Linked DNA regions of Mus musculus: region 2 is reported to be linked to region 1. The links are microRNA targets in miRTarBase. Many come from high-throughput screens and were not tested one by one. Region 1 holds a microRNA gene; the other region holds the end of a gene's coding sequence.

Region 1 (7,000 bases):
AAAGACAAATTAATTAGTTAAGTACCCCAGAGCCATGGACATAGCTCAGATGGTGGAAGGCTTGTCTGGCCTGCCCAAAGCCTTGATTATAAAACTGAGCAAACATCAGATCCTATCTCAAAGAGAAAACCAGGTTTATAGTTGTTCAGAGTATAGGTTCTTCCTGCTGAAATATGAGGGACTGTGGTAACTATAGTTCTGTTCAGTTTGGTTTGGTAATGTGGGTTGCTCAATTCATCCTGAAATAGACAGCTCAAAAGGACCTTACTGAGAGAGATCACTTTAGACTGTGGAGTCCAGAGGCCTAGGCCTCTTCTGGCCTGGCTACCTTCATGTGACTTGCATGGGACTGATGTCTAGGTTTCTGCTGAGACCACAATCGCAGAAACAAGGGTAGGAGGTTAGGTTTTGTTTTGTTTTTATTAATTTGAGCCCTTAGATTTGAATGCTTAGGTGCAGCTTTTGGGGGGCGGTTCTTGGTCAGAAGGAATCTTAAGAAAACTTTTAAGTGTATTTGGGACTCTGTGTGTGTGTGTGTGTGTGTGTGTGTGTGTGTGTGTGTGTGTAGTGTCAAGCCCATCTGTTCCACTGGGCAGGTGTCAGCCAAAGCCCTTGACCGTGGTTTTGAGGTTGGTGGGAGAAAGCACCCCTAGGGGGTTAGCACGGTGGCCTTTTTACTACTCACAGTTCCTTTCCCCAACTTTCCTCTGCTTTCTGGTGTCCAGCAGTCTAAGCCAGATGCTTGGATCTTTTTCAGTTGATAGCTGGTGACTTTGAGGTGGTAAGGGACCAGACCCGGCTGCTGATAGGTTGCTGTTAGATCTGCTTTTGGGTTTGTCAGAATATTTGAATGGACTTTAGATAGACTGAGGTTGGAATTGTGCTTAGGCAATATATGTGTAACCGGGGCAAACTGTATTGTTTGCAGTCCTAGTGATGGTGGGCACTCCTCTCATCTGTAGGGCTAGTGTGAGCCTCTGTCTGTCTGTCTGTCCCATCCTTCCTTACTCCACTGTGGGCTACAGGGGTTAGCTGGCCGTGCCTGATAAGTCTTCTATTTGCCCAGAGAACTCTAGTTACTTCAGGCATTTTCTTTAGCCCTGTGACAGGCCTCCAGGTAACTGTCACTGTGTACTCTACTGGCTGTAGCAGTGAGCCGGCCTTTCTGGCCCTCTGAATGTTTGCCCGGGCTGAGAGGAGGCATGGCCTTGTGGTTCTTTCCCGGAATGTTTATCTTTTTCCAGAAGGTTTTATCTGCTCATATTTGGCACAGCTTGACAAAATTTGACTGGCTGTGGCACAGGCATTTTGGGTGTGGTGTTAGTGGAAAGGGGGACAGCACGTCAGGCTGGATTGATTTGGGGAAGCAGGACTGGCTGATTCAGCCGGGGGTCTGGGACAGATGGTACAGATCTTTCAAGGGGGCAGTGGACACTGGACAACTTAAACCTCAGAGGCCCCTTTTGACCAACTGTGCTTTAAGGAGATACCCTTCATTTGTTCAAAGGGAAGATGTGTGTGTGTGTGTGTGTGTGTAGACCCATATGCCATGGTGTGTAGACCCACATGCCATGGTGTGTAGACCCATATGCCATGGTGTGTAGACCCATATGCCACGGTGTGTAGACCCACATGCCACGGTGTGTAGACCCACATGCCACGGTGTGTAGACCCACATGCCACGGTGTGTAGACCCACATGCCACGGTGTGTAGACCCATATGCCACGGTGTGTAGACCCATATGCCATGGTGTGTAGACCCATATGCCATGGTGTGTAGACTCATATGCCATGGTGTGTAGACCCATATGCCATGGTGTGTAGATCCATATGCCATGGTGTGTAGACCCATATGCCATGGTGTGTAGATCCATATGCCATGGTGTGTAGACCCATATGCCATGGTGTGTAGACCCATATGCCATGGTGTGAATGTGGAGCTCAGAGGTTTCAGGGACAGGACTCACACTGTCAGGCTTGGTGGCAAGCACCTTTTACCTGCTGAGCCATCTTGCTGGCCCAGGATTCTTATCTAGAAGCAAACAGCCCAGTTAGAGTAGAGCCCTGTTCATGAGCCCAACTCCCTGGCTTTTGGGGGCTACTTTTAGCTGAGCCTCTGCCATGGAATGTGATGGTGAAGATGAAATACTTACTACGTCTCTGCTGGGCTCTTGGCTCTCAGGCATTCCTCTTTATCATGCTGCCACCTTCACCCATTTGTGCATGTGCAGACACAGGCAGGCTGATTAGAACAGTCTGTACTGTGAGGCTCGGAAGAGGGCTGTCCTGGACCTACCCATTCTGAGATGGCTCTTGGGACTCTAGCACCCTCTGCTTTAGGGTGGAATCTCATCCTGGGTTTTAGAGGAGGCACAGAGATCCTCTCTTGGACGCAGATCTTGCAGCTTTGACTTTGGGTAACAAGCCAGTTTGTCTTGCTGCTTTTCTCTGGAGGCAATAATTTATTGATTACACACAGATCCTACTGTCTTTTATCTTACAGTCATATTGGACATACCCTTTCCTACCCGGAGCAGAGATGTACATTCCAGTAAAACCATTACAAGGTCTCAGCTCTTCCCAACTCAGTCAGTCAGGTGGCCGTAATACGGAAACCTGTTTGCCAAGGTCATTGAGAAATACCCTCCATGACAGTCTGGGTCTTTTTCATGGTGAAACCTGTTAATTTCTTCCAAATAGCATTATGGCAGGATAAGAGTGATCCCTGACAGTTATTTATTCTACACTTTTTAGGGGTGTGACTAAGTGGTTGCATATACAAGGCCTTGGGCTTAATCCAGCACCAGGGAGAAATATCCCAGGTTCTGAACAAGTGTGGGAACCCCCTGTGGCAGAAGAACAGGTAGACAGTCCTTGGGACATGGAAAATAAGAGCCAAATGTGGGATTGGCTTTAAACTCTAGTTTCTTGGCTTAGCATCCCTGAAGAGGAGTCTGGTATTTTTGCCTCAGGTTAATGTCCAAAGAGACTAGTTCAGAGGACCAGGAATTGTCATGATATATTCTAGAGATTGGAAAGAAGATCCTTCTAAGTTATGCTTTCGTATCCCTTCCTCTGATAGGTCTTATACGGATGTCTGGACGACTGCGGTAACATCATTCATTTACAGTGTGTGCTGTGTGGAGCTAGAACTATAAAGAAAACAAAATGTCTTCCTTGTAGCAATTTTCAGTTTAAGCAAGAGAGACTTAATTATTGTGCTAATGTCTCTGAACACCCCACGTGTGTGTGTGTGTGTGTGTGTGTGTGTGTGTGTGTGTGCTGCACACACTCAAGAGATCCCATGTTCCTTTCTCTAATATTATATCCTACCTTCCTTTCATTCAGAAAGAAACTCAGGCTTGATGTCACAGTTCTTCCGTCCTGGTTTTATTTGATTGTGTGAAAATTTTCCTTTTCTTTCCGAAGCCATACATTAGCTGTGCTGGGTAATCTTAACTTGCTGCGCTATAATGATTATAATGAGATATCGCCCGCCATCTGCCTGGGTATTATGGTCTTTGAGTGGCAGCAGGGTAGGGATTTCCAGGCTAATTTAGGGGTTGAGGATGATGGGGCAGTTGATGCCAAGTCGCTCGGAGCCCTCCCATAGATTCTGCCCTGGGACCGTTCAGACACTGGATCACCTTGGGCTCAGTGGGCTAAGGGTCCCTGTGAAAGCAACCTAGCTATTATTTTTGGTCAAACCTGGTGATTCCTTCATGTCTCAGTTATTTATGGCCTCTGTTCTTTGTCCCCTGTTTGTTCCTGCCAAAGGAGACTGGAAATCTGCTTGAGTTAATGTCCATTTGAAATTTGCATGGTTTATGATGCAGTGGCGTGGTAAGTTTTTTATAAGAAAAAAAAATCAGTGTGTGTGTATGTCTGTAGGCATGTTGGCCATGGTCGTCTTATGGAGGTCACTGGACAATTTCAGGCATTAGTAGTCCTTGCCTTCCACCTTGTTTGAATCAGAATTTCTTGTCTGCTGCTGCATACACCAGCGGAACCTGCCCCATGAGCTGTTCAGAATTCTCCTGTCTTCACCTCCCTATCTCCCTATTAAGAGCACTGGGAATATAGACATACTATGGTCTGGCTTTTACATGGGGATTCAAATTCAGGGTCTCATGATTTCACAGCAAGAACTTCACCCACTGGACCATCTCCTCAGCTCTGGACTGGTCTTAAGACAAACAGACTTCCCTTTTGGTCCTAACCCTTTGAGACTTTGGCAGTGTGATGAGTTTACATTTGATCCTGCCATACATGATGTGTTCCCTGAGCCAGTGGCCAGTCCCTGCAACGTTGCTCGGTTTGAACTTCATGATCTTCATAGAGCTAGCCTTCCTGTTTCTAAACAGGGCAAAGTCTCCTGAAAGCTGACTGTAGCTGTGGCTGAAAAGACCTTGGTTGTGACCCCTTGTGTGTCTGGGACTGTGCAGGGTGAGGTGAGGGAGCCTTTGCCCCAGGAGAGAGCTCTCTAAAGCCTGTTTGGAAAGCTCTCTAGGTTAGAGGCCTGTAGTGGTTTGGCCTGAGGTAGTTCTGGGTGAATGTGACCTAAAGGGATCGGTCACTAGAAGACAGAGAGGGGTGAGTCACGTGCTAAGGTTCAGGTTCTGTTTCAGCTTGGCTTCCTTATACAAATGAGGGCCAGGGGCTGTATCTTTTATTGGGTGTTGTTGAATTCTGTGGCAGTGATTTTAAGTACGTTCTGGGTCTATTGCGTAACTGTAATGATTTGCCTCTTAGGTATTAGGACAAAGGCTATGGGTTTTGTATTTGCCTTTTTCTTTGTGAGGGTGTTAGTAATCTTAATTTTTGTGGAAAGTAATATGGAATGGGAGGGTATAACTCAGTGTAGAACACTTGTAGGTAAGTCCTAGGTTTGGTGATCTTCAACTCTGAAAACATGCAAATGAAAGCCACATTCTTTTCACCTAAGATAAGCCTGCCCTCCCGTTTTCTACTCGTCTTCCCTTCTTGTATGTTTAAGAAAAGAATACAGCTGATAACTTGTTCCTGGGTTGTTTTATTTTATTTTATCTGGCAGTGTCTTGCAAGGTAGCCTAGGCTTTTAGCTCCTGCCTCTCCGTACTCCGTGTACTGGCTAGTTTTTATGTCATTTGACACATACTTGAGTCATCGGGAAGAGGAAACTGCATGTAAGAAAATGCTCCCACTAGATTAGCCGGTGAGTAAGCTTGCGATGCATTTTCTTGATGATTGATATGTGTGGGAGGGCCCAGTCCATTGTGGGTGTGTGTGGTACCACCCCCTGGACAGGTTGTCCTGGGTGCTATAAGAAAGCTGCCAAGCAAGCCATGAAGGAGGAACAAGCCAGTAGGCAGCCTCTCTCCATGGCTTCTGCTTCACTTCTAAGATGAAATTAGCCCTTTCTTCCCCAGGTTGCTTTTGGTCATGGCCTTTATCAAGCTATAGGAATCCTAACTAAGACACCCAGCATGGCTGATGTCTTAACCAGAGGAATGGACTGATCTGAGTTCATGCAGTAGCCTGGTGATTATCCTTTTTCATTTAAGGTTCTCTTACAATCTGGGTCCTGCATCTTTAAAAAAAGAAAACCACAGAGGTGAGATAGGGCTATCATTCAGTGGAAGGGTGATTGCTAGTAGGTGTGAGGCCCCAACACTTTGAGAAAATTAATAAATAAAACTAACCAATAAATCTCAAGAGCGGTATCCTCTTGGTCAACAGCAAATGCCATAACTTTCTTATCACTCGACTGTTAGACACATAGATGTGGTTTTTGTTTTCCTGGTGGTGTAATGAGCCTTGGGCATAGAGTTGTACGTGTGTGTGTGTGTGTGTGTGTGTGTGTGTGTGTGTGGTATCTGTAGAACATTTTCCAAAAGAGAAAAAGAAAAGAGTGAATTCTTTTTGAGAAGCATTAGGTGTCAAGCCTTCGTACAAAGGGTTAAGTGCATTGGGAAATTACAGGTTTGCATGGTGCTGTCAAATGAATATCACTTATGTAGAATGATACGTCTAGAATTCTAATCAAAAGGAGAATAGGTTGAAGAAGCGCCTGGGTGGGGCCAGAGTACAGCCCCAAGCAGACCTTTAGATCTGTCTGAGGAGGGATCTGCTGTAAATAAAACCCCGTGGAGATGGTGCTTCCTCAGTCAACTTTCTCTAGTTGTTTCCTTAGCTGTCGAATCGCTGGATAGGTTTATATAGCCTAATATGGCTCCAGAGCTGAGTGCTGGGTACTCACCAGTGGGCTAACCCAGTGCTACTGACATCATCGAGATGTGACACAGACCTCTGTGGGAAACGAGCCAGCAAATCAGATTCTGAAACACGTGACATTCTTTCTCTACTACCACAAGTTCCTGAGTTCCAGGGAGGGGCTCTGGAGTGAGAATCTTACGTTTCCGGGAATTCTCTTAAGGGAAAAGCCCAGGAGAGCAACAGAGGCTGGCTTTCTATGCGGACTTGGGGGATTATGTCAATAAGGCCTCTGGCTGCTTGTTGCCTGGCTGTTCCCAAGGAGTGTATTTTGAAGTTACTCCATTTTGAATGTCATCAGCAGAGCTAGATTCTCGTCTGAGGGAATGTTGGGTGTGGAGAATCTGCTGGGGTCATTTGGCGCCGAGTCTTGGAAGTTAGAGCAAGGTTGCATTAAAGGGAAGGGACAGGATTCTGCTGGACCAGCTTGACTCATGCAATGTCAGGGTCAGGCTCCTTCCTGCCTTTCCATATGTGCCTGGAGGGGCCTGGCTGGGGCTTCAGTGAATGCTTGGCCCAATGACAGAGTTCATTCTAAAAAACGTCTGTAACATTTTCTTTAAAAGTTCCTTCCTGTTTTGCATAATGTCCTCTTGCCTTTGACATCCTGAAACCACAGAGCTGCTGTTGGTGTGACAGAACAAGCAAGACAGACTTTTTTGTGTGGAAAAAAAGAAAGACTAGACTTCTAAGGGAGACTCAAAGAAGCTGACATTTGTGTTAGACAAGCATGGCGACATGGCCTGGA
Region 2 (7,115 bases), not on the chromosome of region 1:
TTTGCAGTATAACTACCACTGGTCCCCAAGAGCACAGAATCAGTGTTACCAGACTTCTTAGTTTTATGTAGTTTGCTGTCATGGCCACATTTGTGAGTGCTTATCTCTGCAGGTGTAAGAGATGGAGGCTGGTTAATGCTTGCCTCAAGTTTGTTATTTTCTACAGCTGAAAGCTCTGAGACGATGTCTTTCCATTTTTCCAATCCTCCAGTCTCCACAGGTGATAATGGTGGGGGCGAGGGACTTCGAGATCTACAGGTATTTTGAAGAGTGACTGAAAGATCACAAACTTCCCGTGACAAAGGAGGACTGTGACAGGCTGGTTTTGTAGACTGAGTCTTTGCTAATTGTCCACAACAGCACCTGTGTGGATTAGAACTGTTTTCAATTCCTCGATTCATTACTGTCTTAATGTGTTCAACAGTTACAGTTTGACAAGACAAACACTGTATTTCTTTAATACAGACTGGCAGAGGCACTAGACCAGGGCTTTGTCTCTCATTCTGTAAACACCCTCTTTCTGCCAGTCTATATTCACAGCTACAGAACAGACCATGAAAACCATCCTCCAATAGGGGCTTTTGAGATTCTGAAGACATAGCACATGATGAATTACAACAGCAAAGAGAAGCAGCATTCTGCTCTTGGACTAGAAATTTCAACATAGCCAAAACTTGTTGATGGTGATGTATGCACAAAGATTCCAAAACTTTGCTTAATGCTGATTTTCCTTTTTCCATTTTAGTAGCTTCCTCTGATTTTGCATCAACAGTTGAACTAAAAATAAAAATCAAACAAAAAAATGAATTACAGCAAAAAATATCATAAGGAGTTATAATTCTTGACAGCATCTGAATGATGTATTTTGATATTGCTGGACTCCTGACTCCTATAGATGGAACTGCAAGGACATCTTGGTTATTTTTTTAGCAGAAACAGAATGAAGCACTGGTAAATAATTTCCTATGACAAAGCACAGGAGTCAAAGCAAAGGCTTTCACAATACAAAAGCAGATGATCACATATTATTACATCAACACGCTGGCAATATTAACAACTCTGGAAATACTATTAATAACCTTTAATGAAAAATGCTTCAGAAGAAATAAAAGTTTTTGTAAAGTAGGACACTTAGCCATATTTTATATGATCAGTCCTTGTTAATTCAAATAAGGAGATAAGGAGTGAAATCTTATTTTTATTTAAAATCCTTTGCTAGGTAGTAAAAGAAAATTTAATATTAAAAGAAAAGTTTACATAATCATGAAGAAACTTATCAAATTTAGGTTCCATATAAATAAGAGAGTATGTTTTTCTGAGATTAAGCTGAAGGCATTTTAACCTAGTAAGAATATAAAAGATAAAAGGAAGCTTTTGAAAAATTAAACCTACTTTTAGCTGGTTTTAAAAGCCTTGGAAAAGCACAGGAAAACTAAAGGTATTACTTACCTAAATACTAAATTTCAAGTGCTGAAAAATGCCCCACCACAGAAGCTAATACACATCTAGCTTTAACTAAGACCCATGTTTGCTAGTCAACAATATAGAAGCTCATATTTTTAAATTCAATACCAGTAGCAAGAAGAATAAAATATATTAAAGGAATTCTGTTTCAGAAAAGTATCCATTTTAATAAAACATCACCAAACTCTGTAGTGGGAATAGCCTTCCTCACCTAATTCCATGTGCCTGTCATTTGCTCCTAGTTGGCAAAAATGTTATTTAGGGTAAGAATTGGGATATATTACTTACAAAACTGATCCAAGAGAAGAATGTACTTTTTAAAAATAAGGGTTAGTATGTTCATGGTATTAAAATTTAAAGGATTTTCTTTTAAAATAAGCAGTGAAATCAGTACTTTTATAATTGTTCCCTGACATTGGAATCTACAGATACAATAATTTATTGAGTTGTACAAAATTATGCGGTCTGAGTAATAAAAATACCAAAACAAGTTCTGAGTATGTGATCAAAACATCACGGAGAAAAGTAACTATCAGATTTAACAAATGTTTTAGTAAGACTAACACACAATTTGACAAAAAGAATCACACAAAGCAAAAATAAACCAAAGTAAACAAAACTCTAAGTTCAGTGCTGTCACTAGACAAAAGGTGTAAGTCTAGTATTCTTCAGTAAATATTTTTTAAAATTAATTTTGTAATGGTAGAGTGTAAAATGATGTAAGGAACTCAAGATTCAATGTCAAAAGTTATTTCAAAAATGTAAAGCAAAGGTAACATCAAATGATAGCTACCAAATATTAATTATATCATTTTCCAGCGACTCAAGTTTATGACTTTCGATAACCAAGAGCAAAGCAAACATCCCCTGAGGAGTATAGTTCAGACAGTCTCTGAAGTAAGGTTCAGCATATTTATAACTAGTAATAAAGGGGAGAGCTTACGAGTTGTTACAATGTTATACTATATTTCAAAGATTAGTAATCTGTTTTAGCAGTTTCTAAGACGCTCCAAGGCCTTTTCCCGCTAATGAAATGATTTGCACAGCTGGGAGAGTATGCTTATTATCATGGCCAAAGCCCAGGGTGCAAGTCTCAATATAAAAATGAGCAAGCCCCGTCAAAATGATAAAAAGCAGCACTTGTTTAGTAATATAAACATGTTATTTCACTTTGATTAATCTTATAAAATTATGAATGTCACTGACTTCTATCTACCTTTTCTGACATTCTAAGGACACCATTGTTTAAAAGGAAGACTTTCCTTATTCAGTTTGCTAGTTTTAATACTGGAAATTTAAAAATACTAGTGGTTGCTGATAATATGAACAATAGATTAATATATCAGATTTTCAGGTATAAGAGTTGACCTTATACTAAATTAGTTACAAAATATAAAAAATTTTTCTCCCTCATTTTTCCATCATAGTCTCAAAGGGAATCATAGTGAGTGAACAGAAACATGTGTGAGTCTCCAATTCACAATTTATTCTCTAGTAATTATATAAAGATGCTAAAACTATAATTTTGAGACAGTCTCACAATGTAGCTTTGGGTGGCCTGGAATTCCCCATGTAGACTAAGCTGGCCTAGATAGAACTCACAGAGACCCACCTGCCTCTACCTCGTAAATGCTGAGGTTAATTAAAGGCCACCTTAGTCTACCTGGCTGTAATGTCTCTTCTTAGATCAATTCTTTCTAATTCTTCCTGTTTGTTTATAATCCCAAACATCTCATTTTTGTTTCTATTCTGCCTTTTTCTTAGAAATTTGTTGTGGAATGTTTCTTGGGAAAAGTCAAATTCTAACACTATTTAAAACTAAACCAAACAAACCAAAACCAAAACCAAAAAAACAAAACAAAAAAACCCTCCTCATAAGGACTCAAAGAACTCAGTATAGTCAAGTTTACTTTTCTTTTCCTTTACTGAATGAGTAAATTAACCACACACCGACAGTGTTGTAAATTTAAGTGCAAAAGCATTGAAGTGCTTTACTACAAATTACAACCTAGAAACACGTTAACTGAACAATTAAAATTCATACAATCAGATTTAGATATATAACAACACAAAGTAGGAACAAAATTACAGTACATGTACAACACAAGACAGATACATGAATTCATTAGAAAATATTGTAATAAATAATTCATGAATTATAGTGCAATTGATTTATGCATAAATATAACTAATTGCCTAACAATCAGTTTATATTAACAAAATCTGTCAAAATCAAGGCAGCCACAGAGTTTTACTAAATTACTGCGACAATGGAAATACTGCAATTAAAAAAAAAACCCACAAGTATCTGCACTGTAAACAACTAAAAAAGAAATCAGTTTCACTAAAGTCAGTATACAGTTTAATATAAAATTGTCATCAGCTATCAGAAATGGTTTAAACAACTTTACTGAGCAGTAGTTTTCTAAAAACAGAGGCACTGTTTTTTTCTTTTCCTTCTTTTTTTATTTTAAATATAAAATACTTGAGGAACATTCAAATAAGTAGAAAGCGCATAAGGGTTGCTTTCATATTCATTAAAAGTCAGCTGAAATTGGATTTTTCAGAAACTGTCAATTAAGTAGTAACTGGTAATTAAATTTTTAAAGGATTTTGAAAGTTTAACATAAAGCACGTTTTAATAGAACCAGTGGGGAGAGGGGAACCCATAAACTTCCCTGCCTTTCCTAGTTTGTATAATTAAAAAGTCAACTCAGTAATACAAACGTTATGTTTCTTTTAAAAGTTATGGGTGGATCATTACCTATAAACTATCAAAAAATATTTTAATTTACTATTTGACCAAAAATAAATAATAAGTACTAAAATGCTGCAAATTAACTTTAATATTACCTATAAAACTACTGGTCACTGTGAAGTCAATAGCAAAATGATCCCTGATTTATGAATGCTGTAAAGTTTTTGGTCAGGTCATCTTTTAAATGATAGAAAAGTGTTCTGTAAGTTTCCCTTTACTATAAACTTCTCAATCAATTTATCAATGTAAATATAGTGTGAGGAATAAAAAAGCTCAATACAATATAAATATTATGTAATGCATTCGAGCTCCCAAAGTTTTGCAAGTAAAATTCTGTATAAAGAGGTCAAGAAAATTGTTTTTTGAAGCATTTACTTTTTAACTTTGTTTTTCAATGGGAGGAGGGGGAAATATAATAAATAATCCATGTTCCGGTCCTCACAAAATATGGCTTAATTCTTTAAAAAGAAAGATGACCCTGACAAATGCTGTCTTGTAATCTATTAAGTATATTTTCTTGGGGGAAGAAAAAGATAAAGAGGATTCATACCCCAGTATGCAGGTAATGTTAACAGCTGAAAATGTTCAGTACAGATCTGAGAGACCAAGCGATTACCTGGTCATATATTTTCTCATTCTTCAGTTTCTTTAAATACATGCAAGCAGTTTTAAAGTTTAGTAGCTGAACAATCACAAGTTCATGTGATTACTAAATACACACAAACACAAGTGTAGCAACACAAGTATTTGACAAGGTGCACTTATATTTAAATTCAGCTGTAAGAATTCCTTTTGGATTTATAAAAAGTGGCTTAGGAACATGACCAGAACCTGAATTCTAACAGAGAAAAGGGCATAGAGGAGGAGTCTCATCTATAAAGCAGATCTCCTGTCTTTACACGGAGGTACATGCTTTATTACATTTCTACTACCAAAACTGCATACTTCATAAACCCACATGAATACTCTGACCCATATTTTTAAAACTGTTTTATAAAAATCACTGGTTTCATATGAGTCTAGTAAAAGTTAAAATGCACTGCCCAGCTTCTAAATATCCAAGTAGTAAAGAGTTTACATTACTGAAAATTCAAAACAGCGTCAGTGTTAAATATCTGTAAATCTATTCAAGACCCTGAACAAACTGCAAGTTTGGTTATTAGCAAAATGATAATGTATCACCCACCAAAATGAAATCTGTAATTCATCTTGATAAACTGAAAATGTTTTGAAATGTCACAGCAGCAAATATATTAAAGTTACACTGAGGTTTTTCAGTAGGAGTGTGTCACAATCCTTAAAGTAGTCATAACGTCAACTAACCAGCACATTAACCACAATGACCATTCTCAAGCTTGTCCTGCGCACATTATAAACATGCTCTAAGTGGCATTCCAACTTCTTTCCTAACCTTACACATTAGCTTAGTTTTCAAATGAAAAACAAAATTAAGTTACTTTAATAATTAAATTTAAATTACTTTTTGCTTTTAGTATTCCATCTTATATTAAAGGATTCTATAGCTTCTGGGGTTAATTAACTATGTCAGCTTTTTTAAAATTTAAATTATATACGTAATAACCCCAACTTCCTGCTAACTCAACAATTAAATGATAAATATTAAATTTTACTATACATATCCTTTAAGGTTTTCTCTTCTATCCTGGCGGATGCACTTTAGTGCATTCTGTATTTCAAAGAATGCACTGTAGTGTATTAATACTGTATCTATTAGTTACTCTTGGTACAGAGGTAACTATTTAACTTTGATTGGTTCTTTGACATACTCACAATCATTGTAGGTATGTTACATAAAAGTGTTCACAAACTATTAATATCATGTTTCCATTATGAGATGGTTCAACTGAATGGCTACAATCTTTTTACCAATAAAAAAATGTCTCACTTGACGGTTACTTGTTTCCCCACATTTATGCTATTGACTACTAAAGAAAACCTGAATCTTTTTCACCTATTTATACAAGGATTAAATACAAACTATCAGAATTAATAAGCAACTCTATAATTCTGTCCACAGTGAAAACCCTGAATAAAACTTTTTCAAAAGGCATGTAAGTGGTTTTTGAACTGTAAAATTTCATGTCTCCTGTCAGAGTGAGCATTTGTAATTTCCACATGTGTATGTAGATACACACACACAAAGACTCACATACCCCTGTACACATACATTCCTGCACGCACACGCGCGCACACACACTCTCACACACACACACACACACAGTCTCGCACATGTTCTCTAACAGTAATCTACACAGGCTTGCTGCTGTTTCTGCAGCTGCCAGTCCCTGAATCTGTCATATATAACCCAGTGTCTGGTAATCGTAGTTTCTTCTTCGGAGGAGTCTTCAGTGTTCCAGATCTTTCCTTTACCTTGTATTCTAAAGTGCTGTGAGGTACCCCATAGATTCCTTGTGCTTTGGAAACACTCATTTTCCCACTCATTACCATTGCAATGGCCTCTTCCATTATTTCATGATCATACTGTCGATAGCGGCCACGTTTTTTCCTGGGCTGCTTATTATCTTTCCGGTCCAGTCCATCTTCAGTGTTCTCAGAGGTTCCATCAACTGTTCCATTTTTAGAATTAAGACACAAAGGAGAGAGGTCCCCATGTAGAAAGTAAGAGTCAACACTTGAGTGAGTTACAGGCCCAGAACAGTCTAGTTTGTTCTGTTTAGGGAGTATATTTTTCAGTTTTTGGAGAGCTGATCCTTCAAGGACTGAAGAGGTTTTGGAAACTTGATACATGACATCCAGCAGACCAGAACCATCAGCTTGTGATTTTGAAACCGAATTTACTCGTAGCTGAGGAATTTTTAACTGTACAGGAGGATTTGAAGTTTCATATTGAAGGCTTTCATTTTTTTCTTTA

What was found. Region 1 holds the annotated microRNA mmu-miR-5123 (UGUAGAUCCAUAUGCCAUGGUGUG, at 1,820-1,843, shown strand). A microRNA usually pairs through its seed, bases 2 to 8, with sites in the 3' UTR of a target mRNA and lowers its output. Matches are read on the target gene's strand: a 7mer-m8 pairs with bases 2 to 8, a 7mer-A1 pairs with bases 2 to 7 and ends in A, and an 8mer does both.
Region 2: the mRNA of Lcorl is a reported target of mmu-miR-5123. Seed matches in the 3' UTR shown: 7mer-A1 at 6,366-6,372.

What each region holds. Positions count from the first base shown.
Region 1 is chr4:40,844,944-40,851,943 of GRCm38, reverse strand. It overlaps Mir5123 (microRNA 5123), which reads left to right and starts at 1,806; the gene lies at 1,806-1,888. The region is part of intron 1 of B4galt1 (UDP-Gal:betaGlcNAc beta 1,4- galactosyltransferase, polypeptide 1); the gene reads left to right.
Region 2 is chr5:45,726,966-45,734,080 of GRCm38, forward strand. Lcorl (ligand dependent nuclear receptor corepressor-like) reads right to left here. Exons shown (of 7, transcript NM_001163073.1): 7 at 3,367-7,115. The coding sequence ends at 6,491. Gm3414 (predicted gene 3414) reads right to left here and starts at 613. Exons shown (of 1, transcript NR_027993.1): 1 at 1-613.